7 linked regions of the Oryctolagus cuniculus genome follow. The protein of the gene in region 1 purifies or fractionates together with the protein of each later gene. This does not show direct contact. Links are inferred from orthologs where the notes say so. Each region holds a gene or a part of one and is shown in the gene's direction. Other genes may lie near its edges. The genes, in order: HNRNPA1, NGRN, MEPCE, DHX30, NCBP1, MOV10 and RPS3.

Region 1 (4,293 bases):
CCGCAGAAACAGGCATCCTGAGGTCGCCTTGCCGTACAGTACACAGTGATTTCTCTCATTCGCTAACACTCAGTCCGTCTTCCTAAAACAAGTTCTCTAAATCGAAAGCCCTGCTCGGGTTTCCCCCAAACTCAATGTGGTGGATGCTGGGATGCCCCGACGTGGAGAGCGATGCCAAGCTGCAGCACCCAGGACCAAATTTACGCTTCCGCTACCAAAGAGGTGCACCGGGCGGGGGGCTTCGCAGAAGTCGTAGGGGGGAAAAACCCACCCCCGCACGCCATCACGACCATTGAATCTCCTTCCTCCCCACCCTTTCCCACCAAATCGAAGACCTCCCCGTCCTGGAGAGCCTATTGGACGACCTGTCCGAGAGGCTTCCTTGGGCCGCCCGCCTACTGGCTCCAGATTTGGTCCATCCACTTGAGGGCCCAACTCCCGCCTTCCCCGCTGGAGTCAAACCCACGGCCCCTCGGAGAAGCCCAACCTACCGCGCGCTTCGCGCTCATTGGCTCGGCGGGACGCTGCTCAGGAAGGGAAAACCCGCCTCCCACATTCCGATGGCCCAAAGGCCGATCAGTCGGCAGCTCGAGGTAGACCCAATTGGCCTAGACACGCGCCAGTCAAACGCCTCGGCGGCACAGCTCCACACAACCTACAGGGATGGAATATCCCGCCCCCTGTTCTTCTATTGGTTGGCCCAACCCACCGCTGCCCCTTGACTATCCCCCCACCCCACGGTCCATTCATTTCACACAATAACGGGCCCAACTGGAGCCGGTCCAAGGCCTTGTACAGGTAGACAAGACTCTCTGCCACTTACCCGGGATCGAGAGTGATCACACACCCTAACGTCTGCCCCGTTCCTCTGTGCTGAGGCCGCACCACAAGCCACCGCTGCTGCTGCCTTCTGCGCAACGCCAACCGCCCGCCAAAACGGATCCTTCCCTGCGCCTGCGCAACCAATCCTGGGCCCGGACCCTTTCTCCGCCCACAACGCCTGCGCAAAGCAGCGCGCAACTCCCGCCACTACGCAGGCGCCGTAGGTTAACCGCCTTCTCCCGCCCGCCATTTCACGTGTTTCAAGCGGCGAGCGGAACTCTATAATGCGCATGCGCAAGATCGCCATTTTACTACACATGCGCTCAACAGGCGGTTGTTGAAAAAAACCGTCACATCTAACTACTTTTCTGCTGCTTGGTGTTAATAATGCTTTACCAAACAAATAGGATATATAATTTGGACTAGTAGAATGAAAAAAAAACGTTTAGACAGGCGAAGTACGTTCAAAAATGAATGATTGTTCAGTTAGCCAATCAGGCTGGCTAAGAATAAGATTGCTCGAGGACCAATGGGGTCCGAGGGGTGGAGACTGCGCAGAACGCCCTAACGGTGACGTACGCAGCAGTGCGGCGCCATACACCAATAGTAGAGGGAAGCGATTTCAAATGTCCAATCAGAGCGAGGCAGGGGTGGAGTCTGCCAATGTCGAAAGCGAGGAGGCGGGATAAAAAAGCGAGGCCGAAGGTAGGCTGGCGGATACGTTCGTTGGCTTACTCCTTTCTGCTTGCGGACGCCGCCGAGGAAGCATCGTCGAGTTCTCTCTTCCCACCGCCGTCATGTCGAAGTCAGAGGTGAGGAGCTCCCCTTTTCTAACGTAGTTCTCCCCCTCGTCTCCCTCTTCGAGTCCAGTAGGGGCGGTTTCTTTGCCCGCAGCAACCTTTTCGGCAGTTTGCTCGGTCGCGGCCAAGGCCTACCCCTCCCAAAGTTCAAGTCGCCATTTTGTCCTCGTCGTCGCCATGAGGTTGCGGGCCGCTAGCCCCTCGATAATCACTCCGGGGTCGGCGTCGGGGCAAAATCGTTAGCCATATGGCGATTTAGGTTCAATTTTGTCCCGGCGAGCGGGTTTTAAAAAAGCCTTGATGCCCCTCACGGCGATGTCCCCCTCCCGCGCGGACCTTTTGTTGCGCGCGTGCGTCTGGAGGGAGCGGAGCGGCGCATGCGCTGGAGGCTCCCCAGCCCCCAACGGGCCGCCTCCCCTGATGAGGGGGAGCACGTGGCCCGCTTTGGACCGGAGCGAACAAAAAGTGCCGCCTTTGTGGGGGCCGAGTTGTGTTCCCCACCCCCCGCGTGGAAACGGGGTCGTGTGGTAGCCCGAATTTACAAGAGAAAAACCAATTTTGCTCTCCCGCCCAGTCGCCCAAGGAGCCCGAGCAGCTGCGGAAGCTCTTCATCGGAGGGCTGAGCTTTGAGACGACCGATGAGAGCCTGAGGAGCCATTTTGAGCAATGGGGCACGCTCACGGACTGCGTGGTAAGACTGGGGAGGGCCGGGAGGCGGGGCGTCGGCGGCTGTTCCTGCAGATTCTGTGCGAGGGCTTAAGATCCTAACGGGGCCTGAGTTCTGAGTTAGGAATGGCTCGTTTGTGGCTCTTCGGCCTGCTTTTTGGAAGTTGCGGGAGCGGGGAACAGGAGGACCGCCCTATAACCTCCTACGGGCCCGGGCCTTGTAATAAGCAAATTAACGCTGTCTCCAGGTAATGAGAGACCCGAACACCAAGCGCTCCAGGGGCTTTGGGTTTGTCACCTACGCCACCGTGGAGGAGGTGGATGCGGCCATGAACGCAAGGCCACACAAAGTGGATGGAAGAGTTGTGGAACCAAAGAGGGCTGTGTCGAGAGAAGTAAGTGGGCCCCCAAACCCCCATCGGTTGTGGTAATAGGCTTGCCATTGGGGAGCCATCTGGACCCTTTCAAGTACTTGATAAAGGACACAGATTTTGCCATTTAGAGTAACTCGTGGTTCTCGGCTCGGTAGGATTCCCAAAGACCAGGTGCCCACCTCACTGTGAAAAAGATCTTCGTGGGTGGCATTAAAGAAGACACTGAAGAGCATCACCTCCGAGATTACTTTGAGCAGTACGGGAAAATCGAGGTGATTGAGATCATGACTGATCGAGGCAGTGGCAAGAAGAGGGGCTTTGCTTTTGTGACCTTCGACGACCATGACTCCGTGGATAAGATTGTCAGTGAGTATCAGATCCCAGGCACTTTGCGGGCTTTCTGCAACGCACGTGGCATTCCACTCTAACCCCGGGCTGTTTGTCATCAAATTTCAGTTCAGAAATACCACACTGTGAACGGCCACAACTGTGAAGTGAGGAAGGCCCTGTCGAAGCAGGAGATGGCCAGCGCTTCGTCCACCCCGAGAGGTATGTCTATTGCTTAGTCGGACGTTAAGGTAACTTTGAGTTTTTCCAATCTGTATGGTTTAACACTTATCTCTCAAGGTCGAAGTGGTTCTGGAAACTTTGGTGGTGGTCGTGGAGGTGGTTTTGGTGGCAATGACAACTTTGGTCGTGGAGGAAACTTCAGTGGTCGTGGTATGTATGGTTAGCTAAGGTTAACTCTAGAGAGCTTGTGGTTTCTTGACCCTAGATGACTTGTCCCTTTTTTTTCTGTAACCTGTAGTAGCATATAACAAATGGCCTACGTTTCCGAAGTTAAGTTTTATCTAAAATGCAGCTCTGGCCTGTAACTAACCAGAAGTTACTCCGGTGTGCCAATCGTTGTCACAGTGCAGGGAGCGCTTCCAGAGCGTACCACGCAATTCATATGCTCTAAACCTGCTGCACGTGTTTGCTTTCTTCCAGGTGGCTTCGGCGGCAGCCGCGGTGGAGGTGGTTATGGTGGCAGTGGGGATGGTTACAATGGATTTGGTAATGACGGTAAGTCTTTAAAGAATACATAGGTAAAAATGTTTCTGGCAACTTGTGTTACTAGATTAGGATGATAGAAACTGTTAACTGCTAGTGCATGATAAGCTCAACTGAACCCATAATAAGCATGCTTTGCGCAGGCCTTTAGCCATTACACTTGAACCGATTTTGATTGTTAAATACTTTTGTCTTATTGAGAAGAATTGTATTCTTATAGGTGGTTATGGAGGAGGCGGCCCTGGTTACTCTGGAGGAAGCAGAGGCTATGGAAGTGGTGGACAGGGTTATGGAAACCAGGGCAGTGGCTATGGCGGGAGTGGCAGCTATGACAGCTATAACAACGGCGGAGGCGGCTTTGGCGGTGGTAGTGGTAGGTATCGAGTGATCCAAGTACTTGGTCTGATAGCTAGATTAGTGTTTTAGCATTTTAATGCCCATATTGCGATTGGAAGCTCTTAAAGCATTGTGTGGTACACTGCATGGTATATTAAAAGGAAATGAGCTTGCTGTGCTACCTCCTCCTAGCTTTAAGCTGGGGCCGCCTCACTCCCAAATAAGTAGATGCTAAGCGGGTA
Region 2 (2,703 bases), on another chromosome or scaffold:
ACAACTGGGGCTGGGCCAGTCCCGCGCTAGGAGCCCCTCCCAGGTCTCCCACATGAGTGCAGGGACCCAAGGGCCAGGGCCATCCTCTGCTTCTTTCCCTGGTGCATTAGCAGTGAGCCAGATCGGAGGTGGAGCAGCTGGGACTTGAACCAGCACACATATGGGATGCCAGCACCACAGGCAGCAGCTTAACCTGCTATGCCACAGTGCCAGCCCCCCCAAATATGAATTATTTTCACTGTCTCGCTCATGAAAAGAAACATACTATAAATAAGTTGCTTTGGGGCCAGCTGGAGTAGGTTGGGCCTCTGCCTGCCATGCCAGCATCCCGTCTGGGCATGGATTGGAGACCTGGCTGCTCCACTTCTAATCCAGCTCCCTGCTGGTGCACCTGGGAAAGCAGCGGCTGACGGCCCCAGTCCTTGAGCCCCTGCGCTCACAGGGGACACCTGGAAGAAGCAGCCATCTGGGGAGTGAAACAGCTTACAGAAGGTCTCTCTCACTAACTCTGTCCTCTTTGTGACTCTGCCTTTCAGATGGAAATATGTGTGTGTGTGTATTCATTTATTTTAGATTTCATTTATTTATTTGAAAGGGAGAGGTACAGAGAGAGGGAGAGACAGAGATCTGTAAATCGACCACTGAGAGAGCTTGAGAATAGAAAGCTACTCATGAGGTTGCACCGCCTGAAATCCTTCCCTGGCTCACGTCACCTAAATGCAAGGTGATCTTGCCCCTGCCTGGCCTTTGAGCCGAGTCCCAGCAGAGCTGCTGATCGGCGTTTCACGTGCTGTCCTCCCTCCTCACCCCTCCCCTCTCTTGACATGACTGCTTTTCAACCCTGCAGACCAGCTTTAGCTTGGACTTCTTGATGAGGGCCTAGTCCGGGCTGTTTGTTGGTGACTTGGTTGCCCACCCCTGGGTTTCCCTTTTGGTGTTCTCCCTGCAGCCTAATAGTCACCATGCAGCCATCTGTGTTAAACTGTGTGCCCCTGGAAGGAAGGGGAGTCCTTCGTCCCAGGATCTAAGGTGGGTGTTAGACAGCAGTGGGAGGTGTTGAGCTGACACCACGAGGGGTGCGATGTTGCTGATGGCACGCGGGAATGGAACACAGCCATTTAACTGGCACAGAGTGTGCTAATACCTGTAGTTCCCCCAAGCCCTCCTTTTGCTTCTCACTAATCTTATCGAGAGCTATTCTAATAGGACACTCAACTTGAAAACCTCCTTTTTTCCACAGGTATCTGCATAAGGAGTTTGCAGAGACCTGGTCAGTTCCCAGGTTGGCTGAAGGCTTTGATGTCAGCACTGATGTGATCCGAAGGGTTTTAAAAAGCAAATTTGTACCCTCCTTGGAACAGAAACTGAAGCAGGATCAGAAAGTCCTTGAGCGAGTTGGGCTCGCCCACGCACCGCCGCGGCTCCCTGCAGGCCACTCTGTGTCAGGGGCTTTGCTGGTGCCAGGAGATGAAGCCTCATCCAAAGGTCAGAGTCCCAGCACAGCTCTGAGAGCAGTCGCAAACACGCCTGGTGCAGGTTCACCAAGGAGACAAAAAGGAAGGAATCCAGGACCCCAGGGCCCGCAGGAGGAGGGCTTGGTGCCTGAAGCTGCAGCCTGGGCTCGGCAGAGGGAGCTTCCGAAGTCCCCCACTCGGGACTGCACGCGGCCCAGAAGAAAGGGGAGCCAGCCGTCGAGTGACGGGAAGCTGGAAGACTTGAAGGCGGGGGGAGCTGGTGCCCAGAACTTCAGCAGCAAAGTAGTGCAGAGGGGGCGGGAGTTCTTTGACAGCAATGGGAACTTCCTGTACAGAATCTGAGCGGGGTCTGCCTTGTGAAGCACAGGTGGGCCGGTGTTTTCAGAACTGCCTGGCTTTCTGCGTGTGGGTCAGCACCTTGCGATGGAGGAAGTGGGCGGTGGAAGCCGCAGCTGCCTGGGTAGAGGGAAGCTGTCCGGAGCACTGCGCCGTCCGCCCCCTGTGAATCTCCATGCTCGCCCTTCTTGCCCGGGCTCTGTGTTGCAAGCCAGTGTTGCATGTGTTAGGAGCTTCTGTGATTCTTGTGCAATATACATTAGGGAGGAGGTGAAAAGTTTGCCTTCTGACCTCATTTCCTTGTCGATGAGTGAACACTAGCAGTTCTGGAACTGCCCGGTCAATTGGTTATTTCCTTACGTGTAGAAAAATAAAGTGAAAACGTAGCAGTCTGTGTTGCCTCGTGGTCTCTGGGGTGTGAGGTTTCTGAACCTTGGAGAGCAGGAAATGGGAAAGGAGGGGGATGGATTCCATGGGGAGACAGCTGGGCTGAGAGAAATCCCCAGGAGGGGGCTCTGTAGAGCACCCTGCTTGGTGAGGGTGGGGTACTTTTGGTGGTGGTTTGCCTTTTTAAGGATATCTGTGAGAAAGGATTTGAGAGATCAGCCATCTGCCGGCTCCGTAACAGTGGGCTGGGCCAAGTGAAAGGGAGAAAGCCAGAGCTCCGCGCAGGTGGCAGGAACCCAAGGACTTGAGCCATTATCTGCTACCTTCCTGGCGTGTGAAAGGCAGGACAACCAGAGATCTTCCATCTGCTGGCTCACTCCCCTAATGGCAGCAACAGCCCAGGCTGGGCCAGGCCGAAGCAAGTAGCCAGTAACTTACTCCAAGTGCCACACAGGTTGCTAGGGCTCAAGTACTTGAGCCATCTTCCTCTGCTTTCTTGGGTGCA
Region 3 (4,206 bases), on another chromosome or scaffold:
TGCTGACTGTTTTACCTCTGCGTTCCCCTGCCTTCTCTCGTGCTCCCATTATTCTTCTTCCCAGCCGTTATTTTTTTAGGATTTGACATCCTCCTGAAACCCACTCCCGCCTCCGAAGCCCTTTCTTTTCTCCCTGTTGGCAAGGAGACCGAGCTACCCATCACCCTGGGGAAACGGCTCCATTCCTCATTGGCCGAAGCTGGAAGTCCAAAGAGGGGCCGAATCGTCTTCCCCGCCCACACCCGCTTTTATATAAGGCGGCGCGAAGCCTCGGAGTGCGTCCGGGAAGGCCTGCTTGCGAGCTGGCGGCGGCCACGGCGGCTGCGAGGGGCCCCGCGGGCCCGCGGTCTCGCGCGCAGCCGCCGTGTGGCGGGCGGAGGACTTGGTGTCAGGGCCGTGGGTGTGGAGGCGGACAGGAAGGCGTGGTGTGCCCAGGTGATCGCGATTGGGGCAAACGCCGAGGAGCCAAAGAACGACTCAGCCATTTCAGGGGAAGAGGAAGTTGAACAACACCGGCTCTCCTTAGTGCCTTTTTTTGTTTTTTTCCAGTTCAGCAGAGCGTTATTTTCGAGGGGGGTGAGTTCACATGACCTATCGAATTGTACTGAGGACGGTCAGGGCGCCTCCCATTCTCCCCTTCCGCGACTCCTCAATTCACCCCCTCAGCGCGCTCAGCTCTTAACCAGGTGGGCAAAGCGGGGCCCAGGAGCGCGCGCGCGCACTCGTGAATAATTCATGAGGCCCGCCCCCGAGCCCGAGTCGCGCTGACGCACGCTGCGTGCGCCGACCCTGAGGGAGCGACGTACAGGCCCCGCCCCTAGGCCGGGGGTGGGGCGTCGGCCCAGCACGTGCTACCTCGACCCGCGCAAGCCCAAAAGCGTGTGCGCAGGCGCTGCCCGCTAGGGGGAGGAAGGAGGCGGGGTAGGGAGGTTGTTGGGTTTAGAGCCGGGCGGAGACCGCTGAGACTCATTCCTCAGGAACAAGGGTCGGGTGTCAAGGAGACCTTTTCACACCAGCTCCCCGTCCCCCGCCTTCGGTGGGTGGGGTCGCGCGGCAGAGACAAAGGATATCAGTAGGGAAGTAGGGTGTCAGTTTGGGGTGGTGGGCTTCTGGGGGAGGGCCGAGGAGGGGGGGCTATATTTAAACTCGGGGAGCCGTTAAGTTGGGTTCGTACTCCGATGCGCGCGCAGCCAGGGTGGTGGCGGAGTGCGCATGCGTGGCCCCGGGGCTAGGGGAACGCGCGCTCGCCGTGCGCGCTCGCGGCCGAGCGGTAGTGGTGGCGGAGAAAGGGGTCGGCGCACGCGCGGTTGATTCCTCGAGTTGTTCGGGTCTCGCGGGCATCTTGTTTTGGTCTCGCGGGCGAGTGGGGCGCGCTTCAGGGTGGGGGGGAGGAGGCGCTTGGGCGCGAGACCCAGCGAGGCGAGCAGAGCTGCGCGCGCACCCGGGGAAACGGGAGGGGGAAGGGAGCGGGGTCTAGCCAGGCGGGGGCGGGGGGCTAAGCCCCCGATCCCCACCTCGTTACCCTCGAGTGGGACGGAGTAAGGGGAGGAAATGATCGAGATGGCGGCGGAGAAGGAGCCGTTTCTGGTGCCGGCCCCGCCGCCGCCGCTCAAAGAGGAGTCGGGCGGAGGGGGCGGCCCCACGGTGCCACCACCCCGAGAGGCCGCCTCCGGGGAGCCCCGCGGCGAGCCGGAGCGCGGCCCGGGCCGGAGCGCGCGCTCCGCGGACGCCCCTGCCTCGGCAGCCGGCAGCGGGAGCCCCGGCGCCGCCGCCACCCCTCAGGGCGGCCCCCGGGCGCAGCCGCACGGGGAGGCCCGCGTGTCGGATCCCCACGGGCGAGCCGCTCCCCCGGATGTGGGGGAGGAGCGCCGGGGAGGGGGCGGGACGGAGCTGGGCCCCCCTGCCCCTCCTCGGCCGCGTAATGGCTACCAGCCCCACCGGCCCCCTGGGGGCGGCGGGGGCAAGAGGAGAAACAGCTGCCACGTCGGGGGCGGCGGTGGGGGCTTCAAGCACCCGGCGTTCAAGAGGCGCCGGCGGGTAAATTCGGACTGTGACTCCGTGTTGCCCTCCAACTTCCTCCTCGGGGGCAACATCTTCGATCCGCTGAACCTCAATAGCCTTTTGGATGAGGAAGTGAGCCGCGCACTCAATGCGGAGACCCCTAAGTCATCCCCACTGCCCGCCAAGGGCCGAGATCCAGTGGAGATCCTCATCCCCAAAGATATCACTGACCCGCTCAGTCTCAACACTTGCACTGATGAGGCTCAAGTAGTTCTTGCTTCGCCGCTCAAGACTGGTCGGAAACGGCACAGACACCGGGGACAGCACCACCAGCAGCAGCAGCAGCAGGCGGCGGCGGGTGGAGGGAGTGACAGCCACTCCGTGCCGCCCACCGCCCCCCTCACCCCCTCACTCCACGGGGAGGGCGCCGCGCAGCAGCAGCGCCCGAGGGGCCAGAACCGGGATGCCCCCCAGCCCTATGAACTCAACACAGCCATCAACTGCAGGGATGAGGTCGTGTCTCCCCTTCCGTCCGCCCTGCAGGGCCCCTCAGGCTCCCTTCCGGCCCCTCCCGCTGCCTCAGTTACCTCTGCACCCTCGTCTTCCTCCTCCCGGCATCGCAAACGGCGCAGGACTTCCAGCAAGTCTGAGGCCGGGGCTAGGGGTGGAGGCCAGGGTCCTAAGGAGAGGGGCCGCGGGAGCTGGGGAGGCCGCCACCACCCGCCACCTGCGGCAGCGTTTAAAAAGCAGCAGCGCAAGTTCCAGTATGGGAATTATTGCGAGTACTATGGGTACCGCAATCCTTCCTGTGAGGACGGCCGCCTTCGTGTGTTGAAGCCCGAGTGGTTTCGCGGCCGGGACGTCCTAGACCTGGGCTGCAACGTGGGCCATCTGACCCTGAGCATTGCCTGCAAGTGGGGCCCCTCGCGCATGGTGGGCCTGGATATCGACTCCCAGCTCATCCACTCTGCCCGCCAGAACATCCGACACTACCTGTCCGAGGAGCTGCGGCTCCCAACCCAGACTTCGGAGGGAGACCCCGGGGCAGAGGGGAAGGAAGGGACTACCACCGTCCGGAAGAGGGGCTACTTCCCAGCCTCGCTGACAGCCAGCCGGGGTCCCATCGCTGCACCCCAAGTGCCCTTGGATGGAGCGGATTCATCCGTCTTCCCCAACAATGTTGTCTTCGTCACGGTAAGAGGATCTGAGCGACTCTTGGAGTAGAGGCCACGTATGAAGATGAGCTTAAATGTGGCAGGGGCAGGTTTTGACCCTCCCCCCGTGAGATTTCCGCGCATTCAGTCCTTGATAGGAGAAGCAGATTCTCTAGGGTCTGTACTCTCCCTTGGGTGTGTCTCCCGCAAGGAGCAGTTGGGGCCTCTACCTTGGGTCTTTAACCCCGGGGTCCTTTCTCAAGACTGGAAGATCTCTTGCCTGAGAGAGATTGACGGAGTGCTGTGTGCCTGGCCTGGTCTGGGCTAATCCAGACTAGTCCACCTTCCCTTGAGGGCCACTGCTGATCCTTAGGAGACTCTGTTAAGATGGAACCTCAGCCCTGCTGAAGCAGTGTGAGGGGTGGGTGTCGGACGTGGAGTGCCTTGGGGGGAGATGAGGTCAGTAGCAGGCTAATATTTATAGTTTCTGTCTTTCACTTGGGACCTTGTTTGCAACTGCTGCCTTTTTTTTTTCCCCAAGATTTATTTATTTATTTGAAAGGCAGAGAGAAAGATCTTCCATTCGCTGGTCCCTCTGCCCTCCCCCCCCCCCCAGGGGCTGCAACGGCTGGGGCTTTGTCAGGCCAAAGCCAGGAGCTTCATTTGGGTGTAGGTAGCAGGGGCCCAAGCACGGGAGCCATATTCAGCTGCTTTCCCAGGTGCACTAGCAGGGAGGTGGATTGGAAGTGGAGCAGCTGGGACTCCAACCAGCGAATGGAATGCCAGCACCGCAGGAGGTGGCTTAACTGCCACAACAGCTGTTTTTTGTTTCTCCAGGTAGAGTTGGTTAAAGATTGTCAGTGGTCAGGATCCCAAGCAACTTGGCTTTTACCTCTTCTCCATGTTGACCCTAGATAGAGGGAGAGCATAGTCCTACACGGGACTGGACCATGCCTGGCGAGTGTTGCTCCCCATCAAAAACTTTAGGCCATCTGCAGGAATACTTGGCAGTAGGTTGAGTTAAGCCTGAAGAATGGGCTTTGCAGAGGGC
Region 4 (3,016 bases), on another chromosome or scaffold:
GCCCCGATTCTAGGAGGTGGTTCTGGCAGGAGTGTGCCTATAACCAGTGTGTGTCTTGCTCCCCAGTGCACTCCAACATCCCCATGATGGACCAGAAGGCCATATTCCAGCAGCCTCCAGCAGGGGTGCGCAAGATTGTCTTGGCCACCAATATTGCCGAGACCTCCATCACGGTCAATGACATTGTACATGTGGTGGACAGCGGTCTGCACAAGGAGGAACGCTACGACCTGAAGACCAAGGTGGCACCTATCTCCTGGGCCCAGCCAGACCCCGGGGGAAGGACTCCAATCCCAAGGTGGCCCCCAGTCCAGACCTGCCTTACAGCGGCTCTGTCTCTGGAGAAGGCCACGCTCGTGGGCTTTGACTGTCCCTGCTGCGGTGTGTGTTGGGGGGGGAGTCCTGTGGTGTCCGTGTGGCTGCTCACCTGCTTCTTCCCCCAGGTGTCCTGCTTGGAGACTGTGTGGGTGTCGAGAGCAAACGTGATCCAGCGTCGGGGCCGGGCAGGCCGCTGCCAATCAGGCTTTGCCTACCACTTGTTCCCACGGAGCCGGCTGGAGAAAATGGTCCCTTTCCAAGTGCCGGAGATCCTGCGCACACCTCTGGAGAACCTGGTGCTGCAAGCCAAGATCCACATGCCTGAGAAGACGGTGCGTGGGGCTGGGGCTGGGGCTGGGGCTGGATGGGGCTGGCCTTGGGAGCAGGCAGGTGAGCTGCAGACTCACAGGGAGCTCTGGCTTATTCCTGCTGTAGGCAGTCGAGTTCCTCTCGAAGGCTGTGGACAGTCCAAACATCAAGGCGGTAGATGAGGCTGTGATCTTGCTCCAGGAGATCGGTGCGTAGGAGCTGGGCTGGGCTCTGGGGTGGCTCTCAGATGGGACTGACAGCTGAGCCATTGCAGGGGTGCTGGACCAGCGAGAGTACCTGACCACCTTGGGGCAGCGTCTGGCCCACATCTCTACTGACCCGCGGCTGGCCAAGGCTATCGTACTAGCTGCCATCTTCCGCTGCCTGCACCCACTGCTAGTGGTGGTTTCCTGCCTCACCCGGGACCCTTTCAGCAGCAGCCTGCAGAACCGGGCAGAGGTGGACAAGGTCAGACCCAGTCCCTCCCCTCAGCCCCCTGGCTCCCCCTTCCAGCCTTCCAGCCACATCCTGTCTGAGGCGGCCTTCTCCAGCCCCTCCCTGTGACCCTGGTACTCCCCCCGCCCCCCTAACCCAGGTGAAGGCATTGCTGAGCCATGACAGCGGCAGCGACCACTTGGCCTTTGTGCGGGCTGTAGCCGGCTGGGAGGAGGTGCTGCGTTGGCAGGACCGCAGCTCCCGGGAGAACTACCTAGAGGAAAACCTGCTCTACGCACCCAGCCTGCGCTTCATCCATGGTCAGCGGGGTCCACACCTGGGCTCCTCAGCCCCTCCTGCCTGCTCCCACCCATGCCCACCCACACTAACTCCTGTCGTTCCCTAGCCTTGTGGCTGGAGGGCCCTGGTTCATGGTGCACTTGCTCCCACAGGGCTCGTCAAGCAGTTCTCGGAGAACATTTACGAGGCTTTCCTGGTGGGGAAGCCGTCAGACTGCACGCTGCCCTCTGCCCAGTGCAATGAGTACAGTGCGGAAGAGGAGCTGGTGAAGGGCGTGCTGATGGCTGGTCTCTATCCCAACCTCATCCAGGTGCAGCCTCTGGGGGCAGGAGCTGACCATATCCCAGCTGCCTCCCTTCTTCAGCTCCTTCCCTGACCTCACCCATCCTTTTCTCCATCCCTGCAGGTGAGGCAGGGCAAAGTGACCCGACAGGGGAAGTTCAAGCCCAACAGTGTCACTTACAGGACCAAATCAGGCAACATCCTGCTGCACAAGTCAACCATTAACAGGTTGGGGACCGGCAGGAGTGGACTGGGCAGCTGGGTAGGGCCCAAAGCACAGCCTCAACCCAGCCGTCTATTCCCTAGGGAGGCCACAAGGTTACGGAGCCGATGGCTGACATATTTCATGGCAGTCAAGTCCAATGGCAGCGTCTTTGTCCGGGACTCCTCCCAGGTGCACCCGTTAGCTGTCTTGCTGCTGACCGATGGCGACGTGCACATCCGCGGTGGGTACCTGCAGACTTCCCAGCCCCACGGCTCCATGGGATGCGCCATGGCCTTGGGCCCAGCCTCACTGTGCTCTCTCCGGTCTCTTCCCTTCCCCCAGATGATGGGCGCCGTGCCACCATCTCACTGAGTGACAGTGACCTGCTGCGGCTGGAGGGTGACTCACGCACTGTGCGGCTGCTGAGGGAGCTGCGCAGGGCCCTGGGCCGCATGGTGGAGCGGAGCCTGCGCAGTGAGCTGGCTGCGCTTCCCCCCAGTGTGCAGCAGGAGCACGGGCAGCTGCTGGCACTGCTGGCAGAGCTGCTGCGAGGACCCTGTGGTAGCTTTGATGTGCGCAAGACAGCAGATGACTGAGCCCCACTCCCTGGGGCTGTGTACAGAGTGCAAATGTTTATTTAAAATAAAGTTCTATTTATCCCTTGTGAGCATCGCTACCCACTAGGGGCTCCTCTCAGGGCCTCAGCTGCCCGACATCGAGGAAGCATGAAGGGAGAGACAGAAGTGTCTTCCTGGGGGACAGGGCCTGTGGTAGCCCTGAGTTGTGGTTTAGACTGTCCTCCCTACCCCCCAGGAGTTGACCCTGCAGTGCTGCTACGCTGAAGGCCAGCCCCAGCCTTCGGCGCAGCGCCTCACCTAAGTCCCCAACGCCACAGGTGGCCTGTCAGAACCATCACTGCCTTTGCAAACCTGGACACTGGACTCGCCTGCCTGGACTATAACCCTCCGGTCGTGCCATCGCCCTGCTACAAACTCGGTAGGACCCACGGATTCGCAGGTGAGGGTCTGAGTGCTGGCTGAGGTCTTCGCTGGTGCCAGAGGTGGAGACAAACGAGCACAGGCCTGTGTGGTGGGACATCAGGCAGCTTTATTTACTCTTGAAATCATTACAGTGGAGTCAGGTTGACATGGGGAATGGCTGGGCCAT
Region 5 (3,500 bases), on another chromosome or scaffold:
TTGCGTATTTGAAATCAGTAATGGTCTTTTATTCTTTTTAATACTAAAAGATGTTATATAAATGTCTGACATAGTGTTTTGTTTTGAGCATTCATTCTAGGTGAGGCACCAAGGAATTGCTGTACTCATTTTTTTTCACTTGCTATGAAATATTTTTCAGATGAAGGATTCAGTTTTAACCCGTTGAAAATAGAGGTGTTTGTGCAGACCCTGCTGCACTTGGCAGCCAAGTCCTTCAGCCACTCCTTCAGTGCCCTGGCCAAGTAAGTGAGCAGCAGCAGCACGGAGCCTTTCTGGGGGCTTGGGACTCGCTGAGCTTCAGTGATACACTGATTTTTTTTTTAACCTGAAATTGATTAATATGAAGATCTTAATATATGATTCCACACAATGGTTTTTTTTTTTTTTTTTTTTTTTTTTTTTTTTTTTTTTTTTGGACAGGCAGAGTTAGAGAGAGAGAGACAGAGAGAAAGGTCTTCCTTCCGTTGGTTCACTCCCCAAATGGCCGCTATGACCGGCGTGCTGTGCTGACCTGAAGCCAGGAGCCAGGTGCTTCTCCTGGTCTCCCATGCGGGTGCAGGGCCCAAGCACTTGGGCCATCCTCCACTGCACTCCCGGGCCACAGCAGAGAGCTGGCCTGGAAGAGGGGCAACTGGGACAGAATCCGGTGCCCCGTCCGGGGCTAGAACCCGGTGTGCCGGCGCCACAAGGCGGAGGATTAGCCTACTGAGCCACGGCGCTGGCCACACAATGGGTTTTGATTTGTTTTAGTTAAAATTTCTGTTTCCTGGCTTCTGTCAGTCTATATGTACAGTGTACACATGGAATGTATACTTTTTCGTACATTTGGAGAAACTAATGCAATCTCGGGCCCTTGGAACAGTCGTGTATATATAGTCCATAGCTCCTGTGCTGCTAACGCATCCTCTGAAAGGAAGGGAAGCAGAAATGAGAGCCAGCTACATTTTGGGGAGCCACCCAGAGGTTGGCATCTAAAGACTGATTTCTAACTCACCAGATAGCTCAGCAAAAGAAGGAACTTATAGATCCTGGATCCTGCCTCGGCCGCGGTGGGAGGGAAGGGAGCTGGCCGTCTCATTCCTTCCCAGCTCCCCAGGCTCTGTACTGCTTGCAGGGTTCCCACAGAGAATGAAAACAGGTACTTCAGATTTGCAGACAGTTCCTTAACGTTAACTTGTCCCTAGGTCTTGGGCTTACAGTATGACTTTCTTATATCTTCAGTGACTAATAGTTGGTAATTTTGCACTTAGATATTATAAATTAACCTTGCAAACATTAAAAGGAGTGAGTGTATGTGACACTTTTCCCTGTGTTGTCTAAAGGTTTCACGAAGTCTTCAAAACACTAGCAGAAAGTGATGAAGGAAAGTTACACGTGCTGAGGGTTATGTTTGAGGTTTGGAGGAACCATCCGCAGGTAAGCCATGTTGTGGCTCCCTCATTGTAGGACTACAAAAATTAGGCAACTAATTACCTTTGTTTTGGTTTGTAAAACAATTTTTTAATTCTATGTATTATTAAAAGGCATTGAAATGTTTGAAAGGACGGTTAAGACTTTTTATGATAAAATTATTTTTGACCTGTTGTATTCAGTTGAAGTTATATACTTGTATAGGAATTATCTAAAATTTTAGGTGTTACCATTTAGTTATTTTGAGGGAGGTCTTCCATCTACCGGTTCACACCCAGATGGCTGCAACAGCCAGCGCTGGGCCAGGCTGAAGCCAGGAGCTCCCAGGTCTCCCACATGGGCAGCAGGGGCCCAAACACTTGGGCCATCTTCTGCTTTTCCCAGGCCATTAGCAAGGAGCTGGATCAGGAGTGGAGCAGCTGGGACTTGAACTGATTGCCCATATGGGATGAGGGCATCTCAGGCTACACCACAACGCTGGCTCCAATTTGTTAATATTTCTTATAGTGCTAGAACCAAGCAAGGAGCAAAATAAATCTGAAGACCTACTGGCCAAATTGATTAATTTCATAGCCACTAAAAAGCAATGTTATAGCCCCACTGTTTTACTTTATAGCAGTATTATTTTGGCATACATAAAATGTTTACCCTAATAATTGTCTCGTTACAGATGATTGCTGTACTGGTGGATAAGATGATTCGTACACAGATTGTTGATTGTGCTGCAGTAGCAAATTGGATCTTTTCTTCAGAACTGTCTCGTGATTTTATTAGGTAATAGGACTGACTTTACAACGTTTTTAATTCTCTAAGAATTGGCATATGTTATGTGTTATCTCTTAAACATGAACTCAAAATTCTGGTCCAAACTAGGTGGTGTCAATATCCTAATGGTCCAATCTGGTAGGACTGGACTTCATAGGTATTTCTAGACAATGGAAATACCCATAGCCCATCAGGTTGCAGCATCTCCTAGGGTCACACTCATTTGAATCAGGTCTAAGCCGGTCAGGTAGAAGTGCTGTCAGAGGACTATTGGGAAGGAGGATGTGGAAGAGCTGGCTGTGTGTTGGCGTCTCTGCTAGGCCAGATGGGGCTTGGGTGTATCAGTCATGCCAGGGACAAGGAAAGCTGGACACATTTGCATCTGGGCCACAAAATCCTAGATATAATGCAGATATAATTCTACACCTGTTCCCCTAAAGGGAAGGAACTTCTCATTAACTCGGTTCTTATTTGTGAAATTTCACAGGCTTTAGAATTGGTTGGGACTGAGATAGCAGGAGATGACACAAAACAGTACAAAAGTGAGTTACTTAGAAACAAAAATCTATCGGAGCTTCTACCTTCTCCGCAGTAACTGCGATTACTTGAGGACACTGGTCTGACACGGCCTGAGTCCTCGGTGTGACGGGGTGTGAGCTGAGGTCGTCACTCTAGTCAGTGGGTGATCACAAATGCAGACAACAGAAAGCATTCTCAGGGTTGCACTGAGAACTGACCATCCTGTTAAGTTAACCATTACCATGAGTGAAAGGAGGTTCCACTGTTCACATTTTAAAGAAAATTGTCACAGAATGTTTACACAGCTTTCCCAGAGTCACAGATCGGTGCAGAGCCAGGATTCAGACTCAGGCAGGCATCCTAGAATCAAGTCGTTGAGCAAGAGCTCTGTGAACTCTCAGGTATCTCTTAACTCTGCCCCACCTTCTCCCCCCACTTCAGGATGAACGCGCTGTGCCTGTCTGTCCTGTCTTCTAGCATTTTAGACTGAAAGTTTGTGCACAGATTTTTTTTAATATTTTATTTTAAAAGGCAGAGTTAGGCAGAGAGAAAAGGAGAGGTCTTCATCTGCTGGTTCACTCCACAGATGGCCACAACAGCCGTAGCTGTATCATCCAAAGTCAGGAACTAGGAGCTTCTTCCGGGTCTCCCAGGCGTGTGAAGGGGCCCAAGGACTTGGGCCATCTTCTACTGCTTTCCCAGGTCATAGCAGAGAGCTGGATCAGAAGTGAAACAAACGGGACTAGAACCGATGCCCATATGGGATGCCTGCACTGCAGGTGGCA
Region 6 (3,942 bases), on another chromosome or scaffold:
CTTCTAGAACAGAACAGAACGTATGAGAGTAAAAATTAGGTTGCCCTGTGAAGTAGCTTTTCTAGTCTAGATGAAACTAGTCTAGAGAAGTTACATTGTGCATGGCATTTTCAGGTTTTTACTATACTACAGCTGTTTATGTGTTTTGCAGCCATGAGGAGATCGGTTTCACTAGAGAAGGGGGGCAGGGTATATGTTTAGGAATAATGGGAACATGGATTTGCAATCCAAATGCTTTGGTATAGTGGATGGTACATTTTTGGAAGTGTAAGTGAAAGAATTTTGTAGGAACTCCTCCTCTCTGGAACCTCGTCGAGTAACTGGGGGAGAAAAGTGGTAAAATATTTTGGCTACAGTCCCCATTTCTCCCTCTACCTGGGATGATCAATTTCTAGGACATCAGGTTTCCCTGTGCTCTGTTTTCCTGGAGCTTTGGGTCCCACTGTCCTCTCCTGACCAGTTGGTTGGTGGCAAGGAAGGCAGGAGGAGGTAGCCCAGCTGGAGCGTCCTAGGTGCTGGCCATCCCTCCCACCAGCTTACAAGGGTGTGTGGCCGCCTATAGGGATGTGCTTCGGAGAACACTTAGCTGTGATCTACTTGGAATTCTGGTAGATTCGACCTAAACATTTTAAAAATACTACCCATCTTTGTCCCATTCTACTGTGTTTTTGTTTGTTCCTTCTGAAGAACAAACATGCAAAACCCTGGTTCTGTTTGTTTTTGTGGTAGCCCCACCCCCTTGGGGTTTCTTTGGAAGCCTGCAGGTCTCTTCCTGGTGCTGATGCTGTGGCTGTTAACCATTTACTGCCTAACCTAGCAGTCCCTTGCTCTCAAGAAGCTAGTATTTTGATGACTGGGGCAACTCACTTATTAACAGTAAAAGAGCACTGCATAATTGGAGTGCAGTTAAGTGCCCAAATATGTAGCTCAAGGCTAGGTCTCAGCAGCCTTTCCACAATAAAGAAGCCTGTGCGCGGGAGAAAGTAACCACTCTGCAGACTGGGTCCTGGCGGGGCCCCTCGTCCCTCCCTCCCACACGTACACACCTCTATCTCCGAGACACTTAGTTCTTTCTCCCAAACTTCTTGACTCTTGCCTTCCTCCTTCCGTCTGAAAGGAAAATGGGGGAGGGGGCGTGCAGCCCGCTTTCTTCCAGGGTTTCTGTCCTTCGCAGTCTGGGGGAGGTGCTGGACTAGCTGCCCAAGTCTGGCTACAGCTGACCCAGGCCCCTGTCCCGCCCTTTGCTCCCCAGCTTTCCAATAAGCCCCGAGGCTCAGCAGGGTGAGCGTGGGAGTCGCCCTGGCTGTGGTGCGGAGGTCCTTGGGCGGTTCAGGGGGCCCCAGGCGGTAGCCACGTTTTTATACTGGCTGGAGGCCAGGGGAGGGAGCTCAGGGTAAGGGGAGGGCCCTGAGGGAGGGGTCAGACTCCTTAGGAAAGAGTTAATGCGAAGAGGGGGGAGGGGATAGGACGAAGAGACCGAAGGGAAGGCTCAGGTAGGAAAAGAACGGTGGAGGGAAGCCTGGTGGGAAGAAGGGAGCCTGCGGACTCTGGGGTCCGAGTGGGGGGCGCTTCCCTCCGCTGCATCCTCACCCCAGGGCCGCCAACTTCCAGCCTCGGCGGCGACTTTCAGTTTCATTTCCACGGACCCTCCTGCTTGGGCCGCAGCCACCGCCGCGATGCCCAGCAAGTTCAGCTGCAGGCAGCTCCGGGAGACGGGCCAATCCTTCGAGAGTTTCCTGGTCGTTCGGGGACTGGACATGGAGACAGATCGCGAGCGGCTGCGGACCATTTATAACCGCGACTTCAAGATCAGGTACGAGCCGGCCCACCTCCAGCTCCGGAGCGCGGGCCCAGCTAGCCGCCACGACCCCCGCGTCGGGACCACCCTTCCCGACCCGGGGCTCGGAGAGACGCAGCTCCCCCAGCGGCTTGGGCCCGTCCTGGGGCGGCGCAGCCCTCCCCTCCGCCGCCGTGCCCACGCCCCGCCAGCGCCTCCCGGAGTCCGCCCGATCTGCCCGCGCCGGGGGGGCCCCTTGCCGCGTCTCCGCAGAGAGCCTCCAAGGCTGTTGACCCCAGCCTGGGAGCGGGGTCTGTGCCCACGCACCGCTCGCGGGGGGCTGGGGGACAGCTCTTGCAGTGGGGGAAGGGAGCCTCCAGAGGGGGGCCCAGGCATCTCAGGAGCGCGGGCAAGGAGCTGCCTGCTGGGGGCCGCTAGCTCTGGCGCAGGCTGCATGGAGACCCCGGCCCCCTTGTTGCAGTGCTGCTGCTTTAAGTGTCCGCTATCTGGGAGAGCTGAGGAGGCCCAGTGTAGGCGAAGAGAATCTCGGGGCGCTCTAGAAAGAAGCGAAGGGCACAAACTGCGTATGTAGCAACCGCCCATTAGCACCTGTGGCTTCTCCATGGAGACCCAGGGCCAGGAACAGCTTCCTGGAGGCCCCCTTCCCCCTGTGGCTGAACGCTGTTTGGTCTCCTGTTGTCTTTACCACTAAAGTGCAAATCAAAGAGACTTATATCAAACCGCAGATTTGTGCTTCAAAAATCACCTCTATCAACAGGCTGCTGCCTCCGGCAAGAAACCAAGCAACAGTTTAATAGGGATAAATGTGAAGACGTGTGTGCAGATAAATGCGGGGTGGTGGGAACTGGGGCTGGATCACAGGTCTCCTGCACAAGGTCTTGGGTGTCCTCACACCAAAAGGCCAGGGCTGGCTGCTAAGGTGAACGCAGGTGGAGTGAATAGACGGGCAGTTCCCGGTGGGAGAAGGAGGTGGTGACTTTCCCGGTTGACCACCAGATTCTATCTTGAATGTTGTTTTGGGTCATGGGTGTCACATTGTGAGAGGCACATCGACTGGCTTGAGCCACCATCTGAAGAAGGTTCAAAGTTGATGACCTATTTTGTGCCACTACACCATGAATGATAAAGACGGAAAATTGTGCACACCCAGGGGAGAGTGTATGCAAAATACTGTGCTTGGTAAAACACAAGGATTGTAATAAGGTAATAAGAAAGATGCTGGTGGGAAGTACAGAGAGAGCACTTAGTGTTGGAGCACATCCTGTCAATGCTCCATGTACACACACTCACCACTTAGTGTCCACAGAGCACAGCATAGCTCTGAACACATCAGCCACTGTTGTTGAAAAAGTTATTCTGATACTTGTTAAAATGGTAAGGAGGACTTTATTGAATACTGTTGTAATAGGACTGCTTCATTTAGAGGAGGGAGCTCGAACTCAACTCAGTACAGCAAAGATACCCGAGGACTTCTAGCCGATATTCTAATGTAGAATATTAGTAAGAGGAAGCATCCTCTTGCTAAACACTGAGCTAGACAGGCCTAAGACTAAAGGGTATAGGGAGCCAAGGGCAAGGCCTTGCGAAGAGAGCTCAGAGGAGCCTGGCTGAAGTTTAGTCAAGGAGTCTTTGTCACTTCTGAACCAAGGTGCACAGCGTGTTTCAGTGCTGGAGAGAACCTGTCCATTTTGGATTGCATACAGAAAACCACGTATGCTATCCATTACCGATGAATTAGGGATTCTCAAAGGTAGTTTTTACTGTATGAGCTTGTGTTTTTATACAAAAAAAAAAAAAGCCAGTCCCCTGTAATTATGAGGAATGTGAAGGAGAAAGTGATGTTGACCTTGGCCTTGAAGGAGAGAACATTTTTTAGTATGTGGGGGAGGAGGAAAAGTCTCTGTGTGGGCTTCATATTCTGTCAACGAATCTGAGACATGTTTGACTTGAAAAATGAGAGAGGATGAGGTAGTTATCACTGAAGAAGACTCATGGTGTCTCTCCAGCAGGCAGAAGTAGGTTCTGTTGTCATGCCACTCCCACCAGGTGGAGGAGACTGGCTTGGGGCCACCTTCACCATGCAGCCTTTCAGACCAGGCTACAGTGCTGTGAAATCAGTCCTCATCCTCCTCTTGGGAATTAGT
Region 7 (4,071 bases), on another chromosome or scaffold:
AGTGGGAGGGAGCAGCTCTTGCCAGTATCATTTGTATGGTCAAGGGGTGAGGCGGGGCGGGGGGACTCCTGCGAGTGGGGTTCAAGCTCTGACGCAGATCAGAGTGGACACTGGGAGGAGGAGAGGCCCACGGGGATGAGGGCGCAAAGCAGGTCATCTAGAAGGACAGGAGCCTGACTGCAGTGGGCCCCGGGGACTTTCCTCTGACCCTGCACTCACGGGCGGGTGCCCTGCTGCTTGCCCATGTCCCTAGAGAAGTCAGGCGGGGGGACTGACCAGGGCCGCGTTCAGCAGACCATGGAGCCGATGAGGAAGAACCCTGCTCTCCAGCTCCTTGTCTCAGTGAGGGCTGTCACGAGGCGGCCACCGTGGAAGCCAGAAACCAGGCACCACCTCAATTTCCCCCCTCAACCTCAATCCATCATTAAGACATGTCGGGGTCCCAGCTGTGTCTTTGGTTCATCCTCTTTTTCTTTATGAGTGTGTTTGTCTCTCAGAGAGAGAGAGAGAGACAGACAGACAGACACTGAGAGGGCTCCTATCCACCAGTTCATTCTCCAAATGCCTGGGCCTGCCAAAGCCAGGAGCTGGGGACTCAATCCGGCTCTCCCAGGTGGGTGGACGGAACCAGTCATTGGAACCATGGCTGCTGCCTCCCAGAGTCTTCATCAGCAGGAACCTGGAGCCAGGTATCAAATCGAGCCACTCCCATGTGGGATGTGTACGACTTAGGGTCTAGGCTAAAATGCCTGCCCCCATCCACTTCTTTTCCCTTCCCTGGCCCTCTGCTTAGCTCCCACGGAACTCCACTTTATTATAATCTCATGATGAAAGGACCAGTCATTTGCATCAGAGTTATTTTAGTGCCGAAGTTAAATGTAGAATTGTGCGCACGTGAGCCAGAACCCTGAGTCTGCTATAGGTTGTAACAGCTTTTATGCAAGTGGTGCATAAAGAGCACAGAATAGTTCCTAGGACGTTAACACGTAGTAGGTATTATCATTGGGAAGGGAGGAAATGGACAGAGACTGGGGAGAATGGGAGCTCTCGTAGATACTCGTTAGTATCGACCTGAAAGTGTGGGAACCAGGGTTCCACGCTGCCTAAACTCTTGCTGAAACTCTGAGCCTCTCCGTCCTTTTCAAAACTAGAGAAAGGGACTCTAAGTCCCCTTGCAGTTCCTGTTTCTTACTACAGGTAACTCCTTCGCTCTTCTCGCTCCTTTGCGGCCTTTTTGCATTAAAACTACATTTCCCATGAGCGCCCGCAGGCGTCGACGTCGCGCCGCTTTTCGACGTCGCGCCGAGCCGTTTATACCCATTTCCGTCCGCGAGCCACTTCCTTTCCTTTCGGCTGCGCGCGGCGGCAAGATGGCGGTGCAGATTTCTAAGAAGAGGAAGGTGAGCATCTGGAGCTGGGATCTAGGGAACTGCGGTGCTGCGCGGGTCGGGGACTTCTCGGGTCGCCTCCGCGAGACGCCGAGCTCCATTCCCGTCCTTGGGCAGTGGCATAGAGTGCGTGGTGTGGCCGCGGGCCGCGGATGGCGGCGGATTGAATGCGAGGCCCGAGGCGGGCGGCCGCTGGGTGGCCGGCTGGAAAGAGTGCAGCGGTGAGCCTGGGGCGCCCCACCTGTTCCGGGGAGCCTGTCTTGGTCAACAAATCTAGTGACTGTGTAGTAGTTTGAGGGGCGTGAGCCGTTTCTCTCGCTTCTTGACCCATGGCTTTGGGAAGGGCAGAGAGCAGCGTCGTCTTGCCCGCCGTACGGGTGCCTGGGTGCCGCCTTCCGACAGTACAGGTCTCACTTGTCCCGTTGGGGCAGGAAGCTCCCTCGGGTTTAACTTCGAAGTCATGTCGTGTCAAAATCGCTAGCTTTAGGCATCCATAGTTTGCCATTCTGCGTGTGTACATCGTTGTTAAAATTCCGCAGCAGCTAGGGTTGGCAGCTCCGCTGTCTGTAAGCCCACAGGTACACAAGGTAAGGCAGGGTGCCTGGCTGGGTGCAGGTGAGACCGCTCTGACCCACGCCTGCTCCTGTGACAAGGTAGAACAGTGTGCCTGCTGCGCGAAGTGGAGGATCTGAGGCCCTTCGGTGAAGAGGTGATGACGAGTCTGACCGGGGGTGCTGGCTCTCCCCGGGGGTCTTCCGCCGTGCTGCGTTCTGTGGCACCCTGGAAAGGGCCCTGGTGGAAGCAACAGCCCCAAGATGACCAAGAGGCATTTGTCTGAGAAGGGTTGCAGCATCCCTGTTGGCACAGGTACTGAGTTCTGATGAAGGATGTCTTGGCGTCTGATAGACTAGACTGGTCCAGAGGGAAGTGAGCCAGCCCCTCCTTTAATTCTGAACTTGCTTTTTTGGTTAGTTTGTTGCTGACGGCATCTTCAAAGCTGAGCTGAACGAGTTTCTCACCCGGGAGCTGGCTGAAGATGGCTACTCTGGAGTTGAGGTCCGAGTTACACCAACCAGGACAGAAATCATTATTTTAGCCACCAGGTAAAGTATCACTTGACTGGAGGGTAGTGATCTCTAGTTGTATACACTAAGGAAATCACTCTGTATAAATTTTAAGGGTACGGTCAAGTGAATTTGGCGTTAGTGAATGTGATTGTTTAAAGCGGCATTTTAAAAATTGAACAATAATTTCTGTCATGTAGAATTTGTATTTGTGTTGTGGCAGATAAGTGGGGCTTTAGTACCATGCATAATAGGCACAATTCACAGTTCATGTAGGATCTTGGGCGCGTCATCAGTGGTCTCTTTCTTGCCCAGGACACAGAATGTGCTCGGTGAGAAAGGCCGGCGAATCCGGGAACTGACTGCCGTCGTTCAGAAGAGGTTTGGCTTCCCAGAGGGCAGCGTAGAGGTGAGTGGTCTGGCTCATGCCAGAGGTTAAGTGGACGTCAATGGCTCTTTAGAGTGGTGCTTCTGAAATCCCTTATTCACCATGGAGACCTGCTCAGGCTCAGTGAGTGTTATGGTGGGATTGGCATTGGTTGAGGTTCTCAGTGGGCAGTGGGTTTGGTTTTACAGCCCTGTGTGCTCATTTCTGGTGGATGATGATGTTACACACCACCTGAATGTGCAGGTGACACAAAGTGGATGCACTGTGCCATTGGTCTCCCTGGTGTAGCTGTAGGAGGAGCCAGAGGTGGGGCAGTGAGGCTTGGTCTGCTTGTGTCTGTCCTGGGTGTGGGCAGGAGTGCTTTTGGACTTGAGGGATACTATTGTGATAAAATGTAAAAGGTTTATGGAAGAATGGAATTAAGAGATACTTATTTTAATGCCCCTCCAAAATTTGAAATCTGGCTTTTTTCATGATTCTTGTTCCTGAGCTCTTTGAAGACTTGGTCATACGTACATTGCACTGAAATAAACTTAGCTTTGAGTTCCGTTTTCCACAAACCCTTTGAGGTACCCTCCTGTGATGGTGTGGGGAAAGAAATGAGTGTGCTGACTTTGAATTGAAAACAAGGGTGAAGGTAACAGGGTGTGCTTTGCTTCCTTTAAAGCTTTACGCTGAAAAGGTGGCCACGAGGGGCCTATGTGCCATTGCCCAGGCAGAGTCTCTGCGTTACAAACTCCTAGGAGGGCTTGCTGTACGCAGGTAAGTGTCGTGCCGCCTGGTGGTCATGCCCTTCTGTGTGCATCAGAATGTGGTGTGTGCTCTTTGCTGGTTTCACAAATGAACTTGTGTTGAGTGACAGCTTCTGCTAGCCTCTGAGGGTTCCAGCAACACAGTACTGTTAATCCATGCCTTTGCTGGCTGCAGGCTAAGAAGACTGAAGAAGAAAAATGAGAAAAGGTGGACAGGTGTTCTAGGTGCTTGGGAAGAGAGCAGAAACAGGTGCTCAGGGAGGGGACCAATTCTCCTTGGTCTCTGGATGAGATTTAAGTGTCTTCTGGGAGGTGGGCAAGTCAGCCTGTTACTGGTAATTTGTGGGGTGCCCCGAAAGTCAGAACAAGATAGAAGACACTTGATCGGTTGAGATTTTCACTCTTATTGGCACCATAAACGCGAAAGCAGTCCTGATGAGAGAGCTTAAAATCCAGATACTTAATGTGGTGGGCTATGC

Evidence for each region.
Region 2: the proteins of HNRNPA1 (region 1) and NGRN purify together in Homo sapiens (affinity purification with mass spectrometry; 3 studies listed by BioGRID and IntAct, counting the BioPlex papers as one, with this or other methods). This does not show direct contact. The link is inferred for Oryctolagus cuniculus from reciprocal best matches to the Homo sapiens genes HNRNPA1 and NGRN.
Region 3: the proteins of HNRNPA1 (region 1) and MEPCE purify together in Homo sapiens (affinity purification with mass spectrometry; 3 studies listed by BioGRID and IntAct, counting the BioPlex papers as one, with this or other methods). This does not show direct contact. The link is inferred for Oryctolagus cuniculus from reciprocal best matches to the Homo sapiens genes HNRNPA1 and MEPCE.
Region 4: the proteins of HNRNPA1 (region 1) and DHX30 purify together in Homo sapiens (affinity purification with mass spectrometry; 3 studies listed by BioGRID and IntAct, with this or other methods). This does not show direct contact. The link is inferred for Oryctolagus cuniculus from reciprocal best matches to the Homo sapiens genes HNRNPA1 and DHX30.
Region 5: the proteins of HNRNPA1 (region 1) and NCBP1 purify together in Homo sapiens (affinity purification with western blotting; 4 studies listed by BioGRID and IntAct, with this or other methods). This does not show direct contact. The link is inferred for Oryctolagus cuniculus from reciprocal best matches to the Homo sapiens genes HNRNPA1 and NCBP1.
Region 6: the proteins of HNRNPA1 (region 1) and MOV10 purify together in Homo sapiens (affinity purification with mass spectrometry; 3 studies listed by BioGRID and IntAct, counting the BioPlex papers as one, with this or other methods). This does not show direct contact. The link is inferred for Oryctolagus cuniculus from reciprocal best matches to the Homo sapiens genes HNRNPA1 and MOV10.
Region 7: the proteins of HNRNPA1 (region 1) and RPS3 fractionate together in Homo sapiens (co-fractionation; 3 studies listed by BioGRID and IntAct, with this or other methods). This does not show direct contact. The link is inferred for Oryctolagus cuniculus from reciprocal best matches to the Homo sapiens genes HNRNPA1 and RPS3.

The regions. Positions count from the first base shown.
Region 1 is NC_091442.1:57,215,737-57,220,029, forward strand, and holds the start of HNRNPA1 (heterogeneous nuclear ribonucleoprotein A1), read left to right. Parts: upstream 1-1,493; 5' UTR 1,494-1,619; coding exon 1,620-1,634; intron 1,635-2,196; coding exon 2,197-2,313; intron 2,314-2,536; coding exon 2,537-2,683; intron 2,684-2,817; coding exon 2,818-3,028; intron 3,029-3,118; coding exon 3,119-3,211; intron 3,212-3,289; coding exon 3,290-3,382; intron 3,383-3,652; coding exon 3,653-3,727; intron 3,728-3,935; coding exon 3,936-4,088; intron 4,089-4,293. Other genes in the region: CBX5 (chromobox protein homolog 5), read right to left, coding at 824-1,141. UniProt on the Homo sapiens protein: Involved in the packaging of pre-mRNA into hnRNP particles, transport of poly(A) mRNA from the nucleus to the cytoplasm and modulation of splice site selection.
Region 2 is NC_091443.1:100,254,896-100,257,598, forward strand, and holds the end of NGRN (neugrin), read left to right. Parts: intron 1-1,240; coding exon 1,241-1,817; 3' UTR 1,818-2,203; downstream 2,204-2,703. UniProt on the Homo sapiens protein: Plays an essential role in mitochondrial ribosome biogenesis.
Region 3 is NC_091450.1:42,641,034-42,645,239, forward strand, and holds the start of MEPCE (7SK snRNA methylphosphate capping enzyme), read left to right. Parts: upstream 1-1,406; 5' UTR 1,407-1,551; coding exon 1,552-3,195; intron 3,196-4,206. UniProt on the Homo sapiens protein: S-adenosyl-L-methionine-dependent methyltransferase that adds a methylphosphate cap at the 5'-end of 7SK snRNA (7SK RNA), leading to stabilize it.
Region 4 is NC_091441.1:101,031,415-101,034,430, reverse strand, and holds the end of DHX30 (ATP-dependent RNA helicase DHX30), read left to right. Parts: intron 1-66; coding exon 67-242; intron 243-443; coding exon 444-650; intron 651-753; coding exon 754-835; intron 836-901; coding exon 902-1,095; intron 1,096-1,222; coding exon 1,223-1,382; intron 1,383-1,514; coding exon 1,515-1,672; intron 1,673-1,768; coding exon 1,769-1,872; intron 1,873-1,950; coding exon 1,951-2,090; intron 2,091-2,191; coding exon 2,192-2,445; 3' UTR 2,446-2,516; downstream 2,517-3,016.
Region 5 is NC_091432.1:201,466,212-201,469,711, forward strand, and holds part of NCBP1 (nuclear cap-binding protein subunit 1), read left to right. Parts: intron 1-160; coding exon 161-263; intron 264-1,343; coding exon 1,344-1,437; intron 1,438-2,101; coding exon 2,102-2,205; intron 2,206-3,500. UniProt on the Homo sapiens protein: Component of the cap-binding complex (CBC), which binds cotranscriptionally to the 5'-cap of pre-mRNAs and is involved in various processes such as pre-mRNA splicing, translation regulation, nonsense-mediated mRNA decay, RNA-mediated gene silencing (RNAi) by microRNAs (miRNAs) and mRNA export.
Region 6 is NC_091438.1:57,646,062-57,650,003, reverse strand, and holds the start of MOV10 (helicase MOV-10), read left to right. Parts: upstream 1-1,142; 5' UTR 1,143-1,281; intron 1,282-1,308; exon of another isoform or gene 1,309-1,393; intron 1,394-1,404; exon of another isoform or gene 1,405-1,493; intron 1,494-1,611; 5' UTR 1,612-1,676; coding exon 1,677-1,813; intron 1,814-3,942.
Region 7 is NC_091432.1:66,517,568-66,521,638, forward strand, and holds the start of RPS3 (small ribosomal subunit protein uS3), read left to right. Parts: upstream 1-1,271; 5' UTR 1,272-1,370; coding exon 1,371-1,400; intron 1,401-2,084; exon of another isoform or gene 2,085-2,231; intron 2,232-2,360; coding exon 2,361-2,491; intron 2,492-2,767; coding exon 2,768-2,861; intron 2,862-3,507; coding exon 3,508-3,602; intron 3,603-4,071. UniProt on the Homo sapiens protein: Component of the small ribosomal subunit. The ribosome is a large ribonucleoprotein complex responsible for the synthesis of proteins in the cell. Has endonuclease activity and plays a role in repair of damaged DNA.